Linked DNA regions of Mus musculus. The protein of the gene in region 3 interacts with the protein of the main gene of each other region in a pairwise test. Links are inferred from orthologs where the notes say so. Each region holds a gene or a part of one and is shown on either strand. Other genes may lie near its edges.

The links.
Region 1: the proteins of Adrb2 (region 3) and Gpr37 interact in a protein complementation assay, tested with the Homo sapiens proteins (2 studies listed by BioGRID and IntAct, with this or other methods). The link is inferred for Mus musculus from reciprocal best matches to the Homo sapiens genes ADRB2 and GPR37.
Region 2: the proteins of Adrb2 (region 3) and Arrb2 interact in binary tests that used the Homo sapiens proteins (3 or more experiments, as listed by UniProt). The link is inferred for Mus musculus from reciprocal best matches to the Homo sapiens genes ADRB2 and ARRB2.

What each region holds. Positions count from the first base shown.
Region 1 is NC_000072.6:25,685,736-25,692,236, forward strand, and holds the start of Gpr37 (prosaposin receptor GPR37 precursor), read right to left. Parts: upstream 4,246-6,501; 5' UTR 3,362-4,245; coding exon 2,378-3,361; intron 1-2,377.
Region 2 is NC_000077.6:70,430,008-70,436,524, reverse strand, and holds the start of Arrb2 (beta-arrestin-2), read right to left. Parts: upstream 3,946-6,517; 5' UTR 3,795-3,945; coding exon 3,772-3,794; intron 984-3,771; coding exon 953-983; intron 363-952; coding exon 302-362; intron 195-301; coding exon 150-194; intron 1-149. UniProt on the Homo sapiens protein: Functions in regulating agonist-mediated G-protein coupled receptor (GPCR) signaling by mediating both receptor desensitization and resensitization processes.
Region 3 is NC_000084.6:62,175,596-62,182,068, forward strand, and holds Adrb2 (beta-2 adrenergic receptor), read right to left. Parts: upstream 4,387-6,473; 5' UTR 4,158-4,386; coding exon 2,901-4,157; 3' UTR 2,118-2,900; downstream 1-2,117. Other genes in the region: Gm9949 (uncharacterized protein LOC225609), read left to right, coding at 4,450-5,008. UniProt on the Homo sapiens protein: Beta-adrenergic receptors mediate the catecholamine-induced activation of adenylate cyclase through the action of G proteins. The beta-2-adrenergic receptor binds epinephrine with an approximately 30-fold greater affinity than it does norepinephrine.

The DNA.
Region 1 (6,501 bases), on a different chromosome or scaffold from region 3:
AGAGTTGGACTATTCCTCTTGTTCTTAGAAATTGGAAATTAGGAAGTTGACATCATGGTTCAATAATTATTTTTATAAAACATGCTAAAGTATTATAAAATTTATTCAGAGGAAGAAAATGCGGTGATAGGTTGTCATATATATTTTAACTAAAAGTACTGTATAAAAATACAAAAATGTGTAAGACTAGTCATGTTTTTAAATTAATATTTTCAAGCAAGCTTTTTCTTCTCTAGGAAAAAGTAAAATCAAATCTCAATGATGGAGAACAGAAAAGGTTATAAAAATTGTAGAAAGCTAAGCAAAACTACAGAGAGTAAAAGACAGAGTTTTACTAACAAGAAAAAAATGTTTTTAACAAAAGTCTTTATGAAAAAAAACTGACTTCAAAATATATATAAAGTGTTATTATAAGTTTGTAAACTCCCAGGCTGATACAGTGGACACACAGAAACTATAATTATCGTACTCTAGAAGTGGAGGCAGGAGGATTGGGAGTTCAAGGTCAACCTCAGCTACACAGTGAGTGTGAGGCCAGCTTCCATTACATTCCATCTGGTTTCACAAAACTAACAGCAAAATAAACACTTCAGAGTTAAAAAGAAATTTAAATGCATTTCTATTACTTAGAAAAGATAGGTCTCATTAAACTAACCTAAGTTTTAATAGTCTTTCTTACGTTTGATACAATTCTTTTTACTTGTGGTCTCCATCAATTGCTTTGGCCATTTGTTTCTTTCTCTGGTCCTTTTCCCTACCTTCTTTCATTGCCTTCCCACCTAATGTATAATGCAACCCCTGCCCCAATCTGTAGTTCCCAGTGAGGCAAGCCAACACAATTCCTGCTTGTGGGTTACCAATCCTGTTTGAACTTTACACTTTACTTTCTAAATCTCCTTCTGGCACAAGTCTTCTGCATTATTACAACAAAAAATCACAGAAAACTTAACATTGCCTTTGAAAAGATAAATGTAACATGACACCTAGTCTCTTATACTATCCAACTATGTCCTCTCCCCAGTAAATGGCAGCATTTCAGAGTCTCTCCGTGCTTGGCAACAGTGAGGCCCTGGATCCTGGTAAGTAGCAACAGCTGATTTAGTAGCCATGGATGGTCCTACATCTGAGCCCAAACTGAATAACAGAGGGTCTTGTTGACTCTCTGCCTCTGGACCTTCTCAGTAGGCACTGTTTGCTGTTTACTTATCTTGGAATTTTAAGCCTGAGACAATGTTGAACACAGTGTCAACTGGCCCTGGTGCCAGACAGGATCAGAGGCTCTGGAATATTTACAGTTTCCCTTCTTGTGTTTCTATAAATGAAATGGACAGCCTGAATGGAGAAAAATCAAGGCCCAGCTGGCTAAAACCACAACTGGCAGCCAAACACTTGGGTGGGTTCCAAGAGCTGGTGTTTAAAGAGAAGCCAATTTACAGAGCAAATTCCTACTGCTAGAGCAACGACGGGTACAGTAGCTCTAGCATGAAGCAGTAAAACCTTGTCTTGTTCAAACAATTTTCATCTCAAAGTTTGGAAGCTAACTCCTTTTTTACTTCAGAATTGTTCTTATGTTACCTATAAATCATTTTAAAATTGTTTATTCTTCACAGCCATAGCAGTGGCAAATTTGTGTCCTATGCTCTACAAATGTTAGATTATAGGAGACTGGACTAAGTCTTATTTTTGTTTAAGTTTATCCAGAAAACTGAACTGTTTCTAAAAGTTAACAAGGATCCACAAAGAAGTCCTAACAATGTAGAGGAAACAATAAGGTAGATATCTTAACCAATTTAAACTAATTTGGAGGTTCCTAATATATCATGAGGCCAACTACAAAAACTAAAATTGATGTTCTTTTATACATAAAATATAACCTCAGCTTTGGTAGTTAAAAATGAGAAAAAGCTCAATTGCCTCTCTTGGGGATGGCATGGTGGAATCACGATGAAATACTAGAACTTTAGTAAATGAATATTAATGATCCCTCCCCCACCCCACCCCCAGTACTACGTTCCCATAAAGACAACCATGGGCTGGCCATTATTTAACCCAGGATACCAAGTCAAAAATATCATATCCAGAGAAAAGCTGTACATATAGAACTATCACACACACACACACACACACACACACACACACACACGCACGCACGCACGCACACACACGCACACACACACACACACACACACACACACACACCAGGCTAGGAGCAATGGAGTTTGAAGATGGTTTAGCAAAGCTGCTTTCTTTCATACACACACGTGCTTGCATAAGTGACTGGGGGAAAGAGAAGGGATTCAGAGAAAGAAGCAAAGAGTCCCACAGGTAGGTGCTTATTCTCCGGAAACAGAAAAAGGCAGTAGCTAGAGGTCATTACCTCGATATAGGGCACGATCTTGCAGGAGAAATCTTCCAAAAGCCACTTCTTAGTCAACTCATGGAAGATGACCAGGGGGAGGCAGAAGAAGATGATGAGAAAGTCCCAGAAAGCCAGGTTGGCCAAGAGAGAATTGGAGATGCTCCTCATGTAGTAATTGTGACACACGATGCACATCACTGCCAAGTTGCCAATAATGCCGGTCCCAAAGATCACCACAGATAAGCACATGACCGCATAGGCTCCGTAGGATTCTTGGGTCAATGGGTAGAAGGGGTTCTTCAATCTCACGCGCCGCGTGGTGTTTCCACGGCGTGGACCCCCTTGGTCAGGAACCCAGTCATCTGCAGACCCGTTTTGCGGTAGTGCCCTGCCTGGAGGAGCAAGGGTCCTTCCTTCGTGTACTGCTGAAGGCCTGTGTTGGGAATCCTGGAGTTGTCCAGTTCTTCGTGGCCAGTAAAAAAGATCTCTGGGTTCCGTTTTCACACTGTGCTCCTGCCTGCTCTGGGGAATCCCATCGCGCTTGGAACTCATCTCTCCCCCCTCCGATGTCGGAAAGAAGAGTTGGGGATCCGTGGGGTCCCTTCTCCTCAAATGCCCGGATGGTTCTTTACCCTGGGCACTTTTCCATCTCCAGGCACTTGGTGGCTTGGTTGGAGGTCCCAAGGGCCCAGCAGCCGCCGCTTCTTCAATCACACCTGTGTCACCGCCCCTGGGTGGTGGGAGGTCCCAAGAGGTCGCCCCTCTCACCTCTGCTTCCAGTTTCTCTCTGGGCACATGGACTCGCAGAGCGTCTTTTGCCGAATTCCCAGGTCCACGGGCATCCCTGCTGCGGCGTTGGATCAGTGGGGAACAGCTCTCCCCCAGACAAGTTCCATTCCTGGGCTCAGGGACAAAGCTCAGGGCAGCAGAGACAGAAACCTTAAACAGCAGAAGGAGCAGCAGCCGCGATGTGCGCGAGAGAGGCGCGCCCCGGGCTGGCATGGCTCGGCGAGGGCGCACCTACTAGCCTGGCTCTAGCTTAGCACCGACACCTGCTGCCAAACTTGGTGCAGAGAGTTAGGCACATGTCACATACTCACCGCTGGGTAGAGGATGGGAGCAGAAGATTGCTGGGAGGGAACAGGGCGCTTGGGGAAGGACGGTGTCATCAACACATCCCTACAATCCTTCCACGTTTCATGTTCTGAGCATTTCCCAGCCAAATCTAATCCAAGCTCGGTGCACCCGAAGGTTCCCAGGGAAATAACAGATCCAAGAGGCTGACCTTGAAAAGTTGCGAACACCACCTGATTGTTCCCTAATGTTGCGACTGGGCGCAGCCTGGAGGAAGCCCCGCGCTCCTCCCAGCCTTTGGGTGGTGGCTGTCTTCTTGGTAACAGTTGCTCTGCTATTTACATCCTTTCCATACTGCTTTATCCAGTCGCTAGTAGAGGTCTCTAGAGAAAAAGAAAAACAAGTCCGCTCCACTAGGGGACTGGCTGTCACAATCCCACTCTCGGCTGGCGGGGGGGTGGGGGGTGGGGACCCTTGCAAACAAGGCACCACCGGAGCACAGAGGAAACTCTTGCTTCGTTTAACTCCGACGACTTTCAAAGGGACTGTTGCCAAGGAGAAGCCAGATTCGAAACCCGCGGCCACTGTCAAAGTTGCTGCTCCTTCAGTTCAAAGTTGACAAGTGGATGGCGCCAGCGGCTGCGCCTAGTGCACGGGCTGAGAAGGCGTGGAGTGGAGCGAGAGGGAGGAGAGGGCGCTGCTGTTTTGTGCACAGTGCTGTGGGCTGCAGGAGCTTGTCACTGCCACCACCATCGCAACCCGGGTGGAGAGCGTGGTGCCTGGAACCGCTGCTGGCGGGCGGAGCGGTGCATGGTGGACAGGGGAGGTGGCCCGGCCTCTCCCAGCGGCTCAGCCACTGCGCGGGCTTCACTCCAGGTCGCCTCCCTCTCGTCCTCCTTCTAGCAGAGCATCTGGTTTGTGGAGAGACGGGATCCCCTGGTGGTTTTACCACACACTAAACCCACACACGTTTCATTCAAGGCGTTCGCAGTAGCTTTCAATAGGAAGCTAGGAGCGACCCGGGAACAAGGGCGGAGGCGCCGAATCTGCACGGCTAAAGGCAAGGAGGACGTGAACTCCATGGGTTATTGCCCTAGATAGTCCAACCAACCCGACCTAATCTGTCACCACTAAGGAGGGGGTTGGATCTCAGGACCCCCGGTGCAGGCGGGGATCCCTGGAGGAGAAGGTAGAAAGGGCAAGCCTCTTGAGATCTGCAACAATTGGTAGCAACTGGTGCGCATGCTCAGGCTTCAGACTCCCCAGGGAATAGTGACACATTCACAGTCTTAGATTCCCCAGAGCAGAGTCAGAAAAGAAACAGACTTCATTGGTTTCATTCACTCGGTAAGAGAGTAGATTGTAAGGTAAGAAGGATCCAGGTGTCCCGTTACCTTTAACATTGACTTTGAAAGCATCCTACCAGGAGGTGGAGTTAGAGCTGATCACAGGGAGCAGGAGGAACGCAGCAACCTTGATATGTTCAGAACTGAGAACTGAGGAGGACCGAACTCCCATCACGATGCCCATGCCTTTCCAATTTTTATATACACACAACCCCGTGTAGCAATCTTGGTATAGCTGAGAAAACAGACAAATATCGGACCAAATTTTTAAAAGGGGAAGAAATAAACATGTGAGATAGAGACAAAGGCAACAACAGAAGAATTATCTAAGGGCACAATAGAAAATACAGTAAAAATACAATTGCAGTAAAGAGCCTCAAACTATCTACGTCCTAAGCACTGTCATTTGTGAATATGTGTTTACATAGCAAAAGGAACTCTACAGTGAGACTTACTTAAATATCTGGAGATGAAAAGAGTGTCACGGGTTATAAATTTGTGCACACACAAGGGACCCAAGAAGAAAAAGGTAGAGAGAGATGAGAGGGTAGTAGACTATGAAAATCTTTATAATTTTTTTTCTTGTGTTGAGGTTCAAATGGGCAGATGCACAGACACCAGACATAACAACAAAACTGACAAGGGTCAAAAAAAACAAAAAACTATTTTGGAAAAAGTTAGACAAAAATTAAAATACGGGATTTCACCAAAGGTTAAGTGTCAAATGACATGTCACAGGGAGGTAGTGTTCAGCACCAGCTTGTTGGATGACTGAAAATGGAAACAGATAAAATTACTCTTCTTTTAAAGTAGAAAAAATGAAAAGAGAAGAAAATCCCATTTGCAACGGTATTTGTCAATACCTCAAAATACTGCAGATTTATATCCTGTGCGTTCAAAACATAAGATCAAGAATAACCCTTGTGAAGCCCTTGTGTCTTACAAGGAATCTTTGAACTTATTTCTAAGAGCAAGAGCAACCAGAATCACATGGAAATAATGTAAAGGACATCAAAGTTAGGAATAAAAATTCCCACTCTGGTGTATGTAAACAGTACAAACTAGTTGTATGTATGTCATGTCAACCAGACAGATCCTGAAAGCACAAATGTAAAAATAAACAGTGGGTTCATTATACTGCACTGCCATTTGAGCTGTGTCGATATATGGATAGAAAGGACACATGCTATTTGGATTAGTAGTCTATTCAAAAGTTGGTGAATGGAAATGTTATGTGAAGAATCTTCTATTGTAATCAAATTTTGTTATCATATATAATTGTATTATGTAGTTATATATTATATATTTATATATTATATGTACTTAATTATATATAATAATTTTAATTAATTATTTTCTTTCTTAAAAAAAATCCAAAACAAGAGCTAGGTTAACTATGGAACAGAAAAACAAGACACCAAAATAAAGTCTGTGATGCTGTTTTCTCTTTCAAAGTACCTTAAAGACTGGGCTATATATGTAAACAATTTTCTACTCTTCCTACTCTGGATCACTTAAATGAGCCACTAATTTTAATGGTACTCAGCAAGGAAAAGAGGCTGAACTATAGGGGAAAAATCCCTTTAAGTCCTTCTTAGAAGCCCCAGTTGGCATCTTTAAGGTGGCAGAACACAGCTCCCAAGTAGACAGCTTATGCTTATGTAGATTGTGAAAACACTGAAGGGCTGCCTATGTGTATCTGAATGCTGCCTTCATTTTCCT
Region 2 (6,517 bases), on a different chromosome or scaffold from region 3:
GCCCCTTTCTTCACGGCACCCACATCCTTCTTCGGCATAACAGACTTCCCGGAATCCTATTCCCTGCCTCTGATGCTGCCTTCCTTTCCTCTCTTATCAATGTCAGCCCATCTAATGTTGTCTTCTCCCCTCCAGCATACATGTAGTACCTTTCCGGTCCTTCAAGTAGTCAGGATCCACAAGCACCACGCCATCTAGGAAAGAGAGATGGATTCATTTTCTGAAGGGGGCCACTCCCAGACCCAGGAATCACCTCCCCTCTTGCAGGGGTGATGTGTTGGTGCCATCTAGGCAAACTTACCCACAGGGTCCACTTTGTCCAGGTGATCTACAAAGTCGCGCTTGCCCAAGTACACGGTGAGCTGAGGAGGTCAAGGGTCACAGGGGAAATTGGGGAGGATGGTGGCAAGCCACCAGAGTTCTCAAAGGTGGGTGTCCTGTTCTGGGCTCCCCTTGGGTGGGTTATCAGGAAGGATTGTCTCCCAGTATGACTGGAAGGTGAGATTGGTAGAGTTTTCCAGACAACTTAGTAAAACTTTCGTTTAAGCTTTTACCTGCTTTCCACACCTCTGCCCACCCACGGAGGGTCGGTACACATAAGTGTGTGTTTATGTGTGTTTCTATGTCTTCAGGGAACACTCAGCCAGACCAGGCAGGTAGCAGCTGTCCCCACAAAGGGCTCTGAGATAAACAGCCCACAGCCTGGGAAACTATTAACTATTCCTAGCTCAGGCACCCTGGGTTGGTTTCTAAGAGAGTTACAAGCTTGCTTAGGAACCCAGACCCCACCCAGCCCTGTGGCTTCTTCAGACTGCGGCAAGGGGCTTAAGGAGGGAAGGAAGTCAGTCTGCTTTTAGCTGTCACAGGAAGTGGGGAGCAAAGGCTTGGGGATCATCGAGGGCTTTGATCGGGCCCAGGGAGGATCAAAGGGTAAGCATCGAGGGGGACTCACCTTGCAGTTAGGGCTCGACTTCTTGAAGACCCTAACAAAACAGAAAGGAAGACCCCACTGCCTCCCTTAGGCTGGGCAAGGACCACCACACCAGGACTTATCCCTCCCCAGCCTGAGAAGGGAATTCAGCCTGGATCCCTGCCCTACCCTTCCCACTGCTTTTTTATAAAGTCCCAGTATTTCCCACATGGCAGCCCCTCGAAGCCAACTGTCAGGGCGAGCGAGCCTTTGCTCCTTTGCTGTTCGATGCTACATAACTCACTCCTCCTCTTACAATAATGGCCACTAGCTACCCCAGGAACTACCCAGGCTCTCCTCCCCAGGGGACCCTCTCCAAAACTGAGAGCGAACTGGATGGATACACACTGTCTGGGTCACACCTAACACCCCTCCCCACCCCCCTTTTTTGACCTTGGCCTTCGTATGTAACTCTGGCTAGCGTGGATCTTGACATATAGACCAGGCTGGCCCCAACTCAGATCCATTTGTCCCTGCCTCCTTGGTGCGAGGATGAAAGGCACAAACCATCACACTCAGATAATCTTTTCAACTGACCTCTAGCTTCAGGGACCCATACAGTGACTCCCGGAGCAGAGCCTAGTCTCTGCCCCTCAGATGGTTTTTGCCCAAGTCTGACTATTTCGTGAACCTCCAACAGCCTCGCAGCTTAAAAAAAAATCCACTGTGGTCCCAACACAGCAGCATCCTATGGCAAAGATGGTGATGCGGCTAACATGGTACAGGGGGGCTGCTCTGTTCCAACTGCATCTATTGCTCTTATAGCCCAATGGCTGAGACTGAAACATCCCTGTTTTACATCGAACAAGAATTCTGTCAAAGGTCACAGAGAATGTACAGGGTGGGACTCGGATATAAACTTAAGGAAGGTACCTTGGCTTCAAGACCCTGTTCTCAACCACTACATAGTGGCGGCGCTTGCCTGTCACAGTTTGTCAAGTCAAAGGGGATTTTTTTACACGGGTACTGCAACAACCTAAGCCTAGACTCCACCCGCTGCTGGGAGCATTAGTAGGAAACTGTCTAGTGACCCCAGGGCTCTGGCTACTCGGTGGCTTATTCTTCCAAGTGTCATTCTGCCCCCTGTGAGGCATGCTGCCCCAGGGGCAATTCCTGGGAAAGGACCCCAGGTAACACACTGAATAATGCCCCGTGTTCCATCCTCCCTTCAAGCACCATGTAAATGTCTGCTCAGAAAACCACTTGTCTCTTCCTCCCCAAAAGCCAAGCTGTCCATACATCACAGGGTCATACTTAGGGTCATATGGCATATACATAGGGCGCCCCTACGTATCCCCAAGTAATAAGGCACATTGGGACATGGTGGCAGTTAGAACAATCACTCTAATTTCTGTCCCAATTAGGGCTGACAGCTCAGACATCACCTAGGCTGGCTAGCTCTTCTACCTCTGGTTTCTTCCTGCCCTGTATTTTCCCCCAATGGGAGCCCTGACAGAGCCTGTGACAGCCATAACCAGTGTGTCTCAGGCAATTGCCCTGGGGTAACTACAGAGCATCTGCTCTCTACATCTTCCCCAGCCACCTCTTGCCTGGTTAGGGAGCGGGCAGTGGGCACATACTGAGGCTGGCCAAGGAGGCAGAGTAAGGGAATGACCAGGGAGGTACCCAGCTTGGGGGGGGGGGTGCAGCTAAAGCAGATGCCTCTTAGCACTTCCTGCCATTCTCTCCATTTCCTGTGGCCCAGAATTTGATGAGATGGTAGGGAATTATGCCAAGTCAGCAGTCTTTCTCTGGACCATCTACCCCCTCCCTGAAGTACACAACGGAAATTTGGGGGCCTCCCCCCAAGTAAGTGACTTCCCCTTTCTCTGGGGTGTTTAACCTCAAATCCAGGAGGTCAGTCTTCCCTGTGGACATCTCTCTCAGATATTGGTCTTCTTAATGCTGAGATGCCTACTTTCTCATACTCTAAGGGCAGTGGGAGTGGTGGGGTTGATCCCATGTTTTGCAGAAGTCACTGCTCATAATCAGGCCCTTATTCTTGGTCCTCTCCGGCTTGAGGCACATAGCCCCTACCTATTCTTTAGCTCTTGCTCCTTTGGAACTCAAGCATTCACCCCATGTCCTCTTGGGGGTGTTGGGTCACAACAGGAAGTGGATTTTGCTATAGACCAAAAAAGAGAACTCTGGTATCAGTGGAAGGAAGGAGCTTCGATTGCACAGAGAACATCCGGGGAGAGGATGTGTGTCCAGGGGAGATACTACCTCTCCCCTCCACCCCCAGGAGAGGAATACAGTCCAATTTCAGCGAGGGTCCCTACACACTCTTCTCTCTCAAGAAGAAGCTGTTGCTCCTAGCAACCTAGAAGGCAGAAGTTTGGTAGCAGAGCTATCGGGCCCTTGGGACAGGTGGGAGCAATCAGACTGTGGGGTATTGGGCAGGAGGCTTTCCATTGGTTGGGCACGAGTCTAGGGGAATCCCTTCCCAGCATCCAGTCTCCCAGCACACAACCCCTCGGGGCCGGCCACCTGCTCCTCCTTCCTCCGCCCTTGCATCACAGCCTGCACAGAGAACCCAGTAGTCCGACTCCTACATCTCTGCGAGAACCCAGGCGTGGGTTTCCCGATCCCCATCAGGTCTTGCTTTTTGCAGGAGCCCTAGCACGCACGCTCCACTCCAATATCTCAAGGACCAAGGCTTGCGGCCCCGGACCGCTACCCTCTAGGGACCCAGGCGTCCGGCCCCGGGGTTTCTTCCCCGGTGTCCTTGTCTGTGGATCAACCTGGCACACCCCACGAGCAGCCGCCCATGCCCCGCGGCACGGCCCCACCTCCCTTACCTGGTCCCGGGTTTTTCTCCCATGGTGCGCGCGCGCTCGCCGCCCTCCGCCCGCCGGGTTCGCGGCTCGCTCGCAGCCTCCTCGCCTGCTGCCAGGTCCCCGCTCCTCCCCGCGCCACTGCGCACGCGCGTCCTCACTCTTTCTCCTCCTTCCCCTCCCCTCGCGGTCTGGGTCTCGGGGAGCCGGGGCCAGCTGCGTCAGCCGGATCCCGCGCGCCGCGGCGCAGCCCGCCCTCCTCGAGCTGGCTCCGCCCCACGCCTCCGCCCTCCGTTTCCCTCGGGGAAGCCTCCCCGCGCCGTCCCTACTCCCGATCTCCCCGCCCCTCCTCAAGCTTTTAGAACTAGATTGGGCCCCTTTAAAAGCAGGCGGCCGCCTTCGAGGAGATTAGAAGCAGCTGATTGGCCGTTGGTATCCGTAGCCCTGCAGGGATACCTCCCCTTTGTTTGCTTTCACTGTAGTGGAGGAGGGACGGGATCGAGGGGGCGGTGGGAATGAGCTCAAGTGCTGTCTAGTTCTGAGGGCCAAGGGCTGCCCACGTGGATGCACCGTATCAGTTGCGTGATGATGCTTGCTTTGGGACGCGCTGCTCATCCCTGAGCTTGCAGCCTCGTTTGGCCTGCCTTTCCCGCGTTCTTGTGGTCTTCAGCTCCCCCTGGTGTATCGTCTTTGATTTTTTTTTTTTTTTTTTTTTTTTTTTTTTTTTTTGTGCAGGGTCAAACATTAAAACATTTTTCAGACCTTGTCATCTCGACTGTCTATCCTAGCTATCATTCACCCACTCCATCCATCTCTTATTTTCTTCATCCTTCCCTCCCTCTCCATTTCGTGTTAGTCATTGTGCCAAGCCATCGGGACCAAACATGAATTATCATGGCCTAACTTTCCTGGGATCTTTGAGACATAGGAACAGGTATTATATTATGCTCCCAGGAATGCTATAATAGAGGTATGACTCAGAACATCAAGCAACTAAAAGCCCAAAAGCCTTTGCTTGGCCAGCGTGGGGGAGGAGGGAGTGCAGTCACTCACTCCATTGGATGGGAAATTTGAGGACAGACATTCTGAAGGATGGGCAGAAGTGGGGAAAGGACATTCTTTATAGACGAGTGCTTGTGGGTTAGATGGCAGGAGGCAGAGAGCTGCAGACTGTGGAAGGAAGAGACTGCGGAAGGCTTTGTATAGCAGGTGAAAGAAAGAGCCTGAGGATCTGTAGTGTTTATCTAATTTAATGTAATGTAATTTTCTGCTAAGGCCTCACGCATGCTTGGTAAGGACTCACCACTAAGCTCTGTCTTTAATCGCAGCCCAGCAATGATTTGATTGGATTTTGTTTTTCACCAGAGGAATGTCGAGATGGGATTTCTCTTTTCCGGTAACACAGAGCATAGCAAGACCGCTAGAAGATAAGCTAGTCAAGGGAAAACGATGAACAGGGAGTGGAGGGGGAACAGAGGGGCCATATTAGAGGTTCGTTGCTGGGGCAACATTGACTGGGTTTGGCAGAGGGTGAAAAGGGTGACTGACAGAGACAGGTTTTTCTCCTCTTCGGTCTCTTCCTTCTACTCTTACCCATTTCCCCTCAGTGGAATACCTTCATGCCTCTCTCTCCACTTTTCTCCATTTGAAAAACAATGTACACGAGAAAAAAAAATCTCAGATCATCTTTAATTTTTAAACATAGACCTTGTTTAACACCTGCTTACCCCTCCCCCGTTCTATTGTCACATTTTAAGTCTGCTCTTTCATTGTTACAATGTGTTACACTTTATGTGTCTGAGTGCTAGCCTGCATGTAAGCATGGTCATCACCATTTGTGTGCACAGTGCCTATGGAGGTATCAGATCCCCTGGAACTAGAGTTACAGGCAGTTATAAACCTCCACGTGGGTGCTAGAAAGTGAACCCAGATCCTCTGTGAGAACAAAAAGTGCTCTTAACCACTGAGCCATCTCTTCAGCCCCAATATGATTCTTTGAGACAAGGTCTCACTCTATAGCCCTGGGTGGCCTGGAACTCACAGGGGTCCCCCTGCCTCTGCCTCCTGAAGCAACACAGTCAGCTTAAATGTACTCGAGTTCTTAACAGTAAGCTTTTTGACTCATGAATTTATTCAGATTTGACCCTTGCTAAAGATCATGTTCAGAGGTAAGGCAGTCTATAGCTAAAGTGGAATTTGGGGGCAAGGGTCGTAGTTTAGTTGTCAGGGTGCTCGCCTAGCAATCATAAAACCCTTGTGGGAAGCTAGAGAGATGGCTCAGTGATTAAGAGCACTGAATACTCTTCCAGAGGAGCCGGATTCAATTCCTAGTACCCACAGCTCACAGCTGTCTGTAACTCCAACATCTGACACCCTCACCCAGACACACACGCAGGGGAAACACCAGTGCACATAAAATTAAAAATAAAAACAAAAACCTCATATTGGATCTCTGGCAAAACTGGGTGTGGTGGTGAGTGGGGGATCAAAAAGCCAAGGTCATACTCAGCCACATATCAAGTTTGAATTAGTTTGGGCTAATTGAGACTTTGTCTCAAACACACACACACACCAACAAAATATAATCAACAACAATATCAATAAAATAATGAGCTTTTGTCTACAGCAAGGAGAAAGACAATGGTCAGTACAGCATGAAATCTGTATAGCTTAGTGGGTAAATGCACTTAATGTCAACTCTAATGACCTGCTTGCGTTCAATCCCCAGGATTTACACGGTGGAAGGAGAGACCCAATCCCTATTCCCCAC
Region 3 (6,473 bases):
ACGCTGCAAAAGCCTCTTTTAGCTGAGAATTGACGTTAACCTTCATAGCTGAAATTTTAACAAGTTACATTAGGAATTCCTTTAGCCAAGAGTATATGCATAATATTGACTTACTTACTAAAAGTATGTCTTGGCCACTTAATTAACAAATAATGACAAGCAGGTTATATATATATACATACATACATACATATAATTCTAACTGAAGTGACATGCTGGTCATAAAAGAATTAGGGGATCTTCCAACTTCTCTAAAGCAAGGAATAACTGAGTAGATTCTTTGTAATAAAGCAAACAATTCTTATTTTTGTTCATTTTGCAGAGTATTTATCTAGTCCCTGATTTTTGTATTACAGATACAAACAAAACAAAAACCAAACCAAAACAAAAACAAAAAAGCCCCCCCCCCCAAAACCAAAAGCCCTGCCCTAATGAGTGAAGTACGGTTCAACTGCAAGGAAAGGCTCCACAGGTCCGATGAAGGCAGAGGTCAGTGGTGATGCCATCAATAGCAGTTCCTGGCAGGTGATTGGGCTGCTGCCTGACCCCCTGCTCTGGCATCTTTCATCACTTACCTTGTGCAGGTCCTTTCCAGTATCAGGCTTTCAGACTCTTCAGATTATGGACTCTCCAAATCCAAGAACTTGTAAGGGTATGGGGGATTTGAAGGACATCTGGAGAAGCTTGCTGTACCTCGGGACGTGAGTCCCAGAGCAGGAGGAGACTACGACACGAAAACCTTGACCAAGACGTGAGAGCACAGAAGAGCATACATTGCACTTTGCAAAGCATGGTCTTTGCCTCCCTCTGAGAGATCAGTGATCACCACTACTGAGCTTTCGAGAAGCAGAGGAGGCTGGTGTTGGGGACCTCGGACAGTAGGGGACATAGAAGGGGAGTCAGCTTTCCGAGTGAAAGAAATGATGAAGGCTGACCCTTTCCAGCCCAGTGTTGCCAAGGAGGACGATCCGCTCCGTGAAACCTGGGCCGAGCTCTGGCTCAGACACACAGGCAAAAATAGAAAGGGGCTGCAAGAAGAAATGTGTTTACTTTTGTGATTTCCCTCTGTGCCTCTTAACAGTATTATAATCTCTCTGCACACAGGCAGTAAGAGCCCTGCGGGCCTCACCTCTACTGATAAACCCTCCCAAATGACTCCGTGCATGAGCCTAAAACCTCAACTTCTTCTGGTAACTACCTGGGCAGCTGGAAGGCAAGTTTAGAAGGCACCATGAGGAAGAAGAAAGAGGAGGGGCTGAGGGGCTGTCACAACTGAGTAAACTGGGAAAAACCCCTCTCCTAGGTGTCAAAAATAGAACCTTTGTAGTAATGATTTAGGTTTGCAAAGTCTACAGCAGGCTTTCTACTAAGCAGTACTTTACCCTTAGGGGTAAGAGGTCGCGGCTGAAGTTGTTCTTGGCAATTATTTGTAAACTTGAGGGGGGGTGCTACGCGGCTGAAGTTGTTCTTGGCAATTATTTGTAAACTTGAGGGGGGGTGCTACCAGAATTTACTGGGTACAGAGCTGCCGCCAAATATCATATAATGCACGGGAATGCCAGACATGGGGAAGCCTGGTTTACACAGAAGTGCAGAGAATTGGGGAACAGAAGACACGGGACAGCAGACGGGAGCGAGGAGAGGCTGAAGGGCGTGAAGCATTCACCAGCTATGTTTTTTAAAGCTTTGCTCTCTCTCTCTCTCTGACCGAGGCCTTTGATTTCCCTCAGAATTTCTAGATGCTTGAACAGCTATTACACAGAACATCTTCCTCATCCTGAACACACCAAGCCCTGATGCAGTACAAAGGGCACTACTGTAAGAGACGGCAGTGATGTAAATATACACAGTTATTAAGCAAGTAAGGCTGGAAGGTGGGTGTCAGGAGCATATGGGGACAAAAACATATGCCCATAACTCTGTTTCCGTGAGTCAGGGTTTCTGGAGTGACAGCACAGAAGAGCAACTGTAGGACATACTGGGTTATGCTGTGAACAGGCAGGACTGCTTTGGGACACGAGTGAAGTTAGGGAAGGCACAGGTTTGCATCTGGAGCTCCGAAGACACACACGGAAGGGCTAGGCACGGTGCATGCCATTCTGGTACTCTTACACATTAAGCCACTCATCGGTCACGACACATAGTTTACCTGTGGTTTCCAGTGGGAGAGACAAGGACACTCCAGAGTCAAGAGGTTTTGAAGAAACGGGTGCAATGAAGTCATGGTTAAACAATTTATTTACTGTAAACTTTAGACTTTTCTCAGCAAAAAAAAAAAAAAAACCCAAAAAAACAAAAACAAAAACAAAACCCCAAAAAACAACAACAAACCAAAAACGAACCAAACAAACAAAAAAACAAAAACAAAAACAAAAACAAAACAACTGATGTTGTCCCTCAAATCCCTGCCTGCAACACTCCATTTGAGTAAATAAGTGGAGTGAGAGAGAAAGGGCCCATTGTCACAGCAGAAAGGTCCAAGACACAGGATATTTCAAGTCCAAGGGTACAGGAAGAAAACTCTCTCCTTTAGATATGGATTTCCAGCAGCAATATATATCATTCTTAATACTTGACCAGTGAGGTAGATACATGAAAACATCATCCAGACAGACAGACAGACAGACTCAGTCCTCCAGAACCAACACTCTTCAGACAGAAACCTTTAAGTTCCATACAAAGAGGAACTGAACTATACAAGAAAACAATAAGCACTCAAATACAGTTTCTCTCTCTTGTTTGCAGCTTAAAAAATAAAATAAAATTTAAAAAAAGGCAGAAGGATGTGCCTCCCCTTCTGCAAATCTCTATACAATTTTATTCTAAAGTTATTACACTCAAGTTAAATAGTCTGGTTAGTGTCCTGTCAAGGAGGGGTCTTAGAGAGTAGAAAGCCTGTATTACAGTGGCGAGTCATTTGTACTACAGTTCCTTCCTTGGGAGTCAACGCTAAGGCTAGGCACAGTACCTTGACAGTTCACAAAGCCTTCCATGCCTGGGGGATCCTCACACAGCAGTTCCTGTTCTCTCTCCTGCCCCAGCTGACAAGTGTTTGGCTCCCCTGTGTAGTCCGTTCTGCCGTTGCTATTGCTAGAGTAGCCGTTCCCATAGGTTTTCGAAGAAGACCTGCGAAGGCACAGAAGCTCTTGAAAGGCAATCCTGAAATCTGGACTCCGACAGTAGATAAGAGGATTGAAGGCAGAGTTGACGTAGCCCAACCAGTTAAGGAGGATGTAAACTTCCTTAGGGATGAGGTTGTCCCTGATAACGTGCACGATATTGACAATGAAGAAGGGCAGCCAGCAGAGGGTGAATGTGCCCATGATGATGCCTAAAGTCTTGAGGGCTTTGTGCTCTTTCAAGCAGAACTTGGAGGACCTTCGGAGTCCGTGGCCGCTCCGCCCATCCTGCTCCACCTGGCTGAGGTTTTGGGCGTGGAATCTTCCTTCAGATTTGTCTATCTTCTGCAGCTGCCTTTTGGCCACCTGGAAGACCCGGGAATAGACAAAGACCATCACCACCAGGGGCACGTAGAAAGACACAATCGAGGACGCGATGGCGTAGGCCTGGTTCGTGAAGAAGTCACAGCAAGTCTCCTCGGTGTAACAATCGATAGCTTTCTTGTGGGTGGCACGGTACCAGTGCATCTGGATAGGCAAAAAGGAGGTAAGGCCAGATACAATCCATACCATCAGGATGACCACTCGGGCCTTATTCTTGGTCAGCAGGCTCTGGTACTTGAAGGGCGATGTGATAGCAACATAGCGATCCACTGCAATCACGCACAGGGTCTCGATGCTGGCTGTGACGCACAACACATCAATGGAAGTCCAGAACTCGCACCAGAAGTTGCCAAAATTCCACATTTTCATAAGGATGTGACTGGCCCCAAACGGCACCACCGCTAGGCCCATGACTAGATCAGCACACGCCAAGGAGATTATGAAGTAGTTGGTGACGGTTTGTAGTCGCTCGAACTTGGCAATGGCTGTGATGACCAGCACGTTGCCAAACACGATGGCCAGGACGATAACCGACATGAGGATGGCCATGCCCACAACCCACGCTTCGTCCCGTTCCTGAGTGACGTCGTGGTCTGGCGCTCGGCTTCCGTTGGGTGCCAGCAAGAAGTCGCTGTCGTTCCCGTGTGGCCCCATGGCTGGCAGGTTAGCAGGTGAGCGCACCGGCTTTCGGTGCCCAGGCGCTCTCAGCGGGTGCACCTCCGACGGGGCGCAGCCGGCCGGGGGCGGACTCCTGGAAGCTTCATTCAGCGGCCGTAGGTGGCTGTGCTGGGGTGCGTCCTGCACACTCAGCTCGTGGGTGCTCCGGGCTCGCGGTGCCTGCAGCCGCAGCCTGAATGCCTGAGAAGCAGCCTTGCAGTGCGCCCTGCCCGTTATGTGCACCAGACTTTAGGGGAATTGCCCAGTGACGTGCAACAACTTTGGGCCAATGGCACGGCCGGATGCCCGGAGGGGCGAGGCACCAAGGGCCAACCCTCCCAGCCTAGCCCGCCTCCTCCTGGGGTTAGCCCGGGCGGGGCCCAGCGGCTCCCCGGAGGCCAGGCCACCGCTCCCTTCCAGCTACCCTAGCTGGGGCACCAGAGAGAGAAATCTAGGGCTGCTGTGCAACCCGCCAACCAGGCGCTGTCTGGAGGTGCTACCTGTCCGTTCAGGTCACCTGTGCGGGCTGAGAGGTCTCTGGACGCCAGTAGCGCAGGGTGCGTTTTCTTTTAGGAACAGAAAGAGCAAGCTCACCCGGACACGCACACACAGGCACAAACGCACCCTGACGACCAGGACATGCTCAGACTTATGCCGAACCACAGCCACAGCCACGGAGACACACCCGCGCCCGCTCATTCTGGAGATGACAGCTGTCTCCTGGTCCAACAGAGAGGTGGCTGTAAACAAACCCAGGAACACCCAGAAGCAGGAGGAAAGAAACACACATAAGCGCTCCTGTGGAGACATGGAGTGCGGACCACTCAGACACCGGTGTCCACATCCAGGTACCACCCGCTTCTAGCACTCATAAGTGACACCCCATTCACAGACATCCAGTGTATCCCCTTTCAGTTATTTGGCAAGAGCACAGGAGATGACTCCAACAGCTACAGAGTTTCTCAGCACACTTTGTGAAAAAATATTTTTTTGGCATCCTCCCTCCTTGAGAACCGCACCAAGGCAGTAACTTCATCCTTCGCATTTCTTTAGACCTAGAAGTATACACATTTGGGTAGGGTTGGGAAGGTGTAATTCTTAATTCTTGGGAGTGTGGCATCATTTTCTTGTTATATGGCGGATATCTGGGGATGTGCTGAAAATAAAAATGCAAGTGCAACCATTTTCAGTTTTACAATTTAAAAAATTAAACTACATTATTTATGTTCTGTGCATGGGAGTCTTATCTCTACATTTGTCTGTGCACCACATTTGTGCCTGTTTTGGAGGTCAGGACAAAGCATCAGATTCCCTAGGACTGAATATACAGATAGTATCAGCTCACAAGCTGCCTTTGTGAGTGCTGGGAATTGAACCCTGGTTCTCTGGAAGACTAGCCAAAGCTCTTAAGCACTGAGCCGTCTTTCCAGTCTTCATAATTTTCTTTTCAAACAATTTCTTTAGTAACTCTGTTTTAACTATAAAAATATTAATTGTATTAATTGTATGTGTTGGCTGGGTAATTTGCTAATCTTTTAGGCTGTGTCAGTGAATGTGCCACCATTGGGCTATTTCTGCCTTTAACCTCGCTGCCCACCCCACAATTTCATATAATTCCCTATATTAAAAACATGTTTTGTGGAGTTCATTTTAAAACTACAGAAAAAAAAGGATAGTTGAGGATAGTTGTTCCTTCCCATTAAAAAAATTCAGAACAAGACTAAGATTTCATGAAATGCTAATCTCTGCAGCTGGCAAATGTCTTGACTGTTGGGAAAAAATTAATTTTCAAGGTTTGATTTCACATGTATTATGTTTGATAGACTGAAAGTCTTTCACACGGAGTAAGCAAACATACTTTGTAGATTACATAATACCATAACAATGGCTGACATTTAGGGCACATTCTGCTATGTGCCTTTTGTGCATTATTGCATTTAATCCTTCCCACAATTCCATGGTGGTATTTTTAGCTCGATTCTCCAATGGGATCAAATTCTCTCCATCTCTAAGGGGGTGTGCTTGCAGATTTGAAATGGGGAGAGAGGGAGAGAGAGAGCGCCAGCCATTTTCATTGTGATGAGTGAGAATCAAATTCTATTGCTACCGTAAGTGCTGTTACATAGCTAAATATCAGACAAATGTGAGTTTGTCAGTGAACTTTGGGCCATTTTTGGGGGGGAGGCAGGGTTTCTCTGTGGAGCCCCAGCTGTCCTGGAATTCACTCTGTAGACCAGGCTGGCCTCGAACTCAGAAATCCGACTGCCTCTGCCTCCCAAGTGCTGGGATTAAAGGCGTGGGCCACCACTGGCC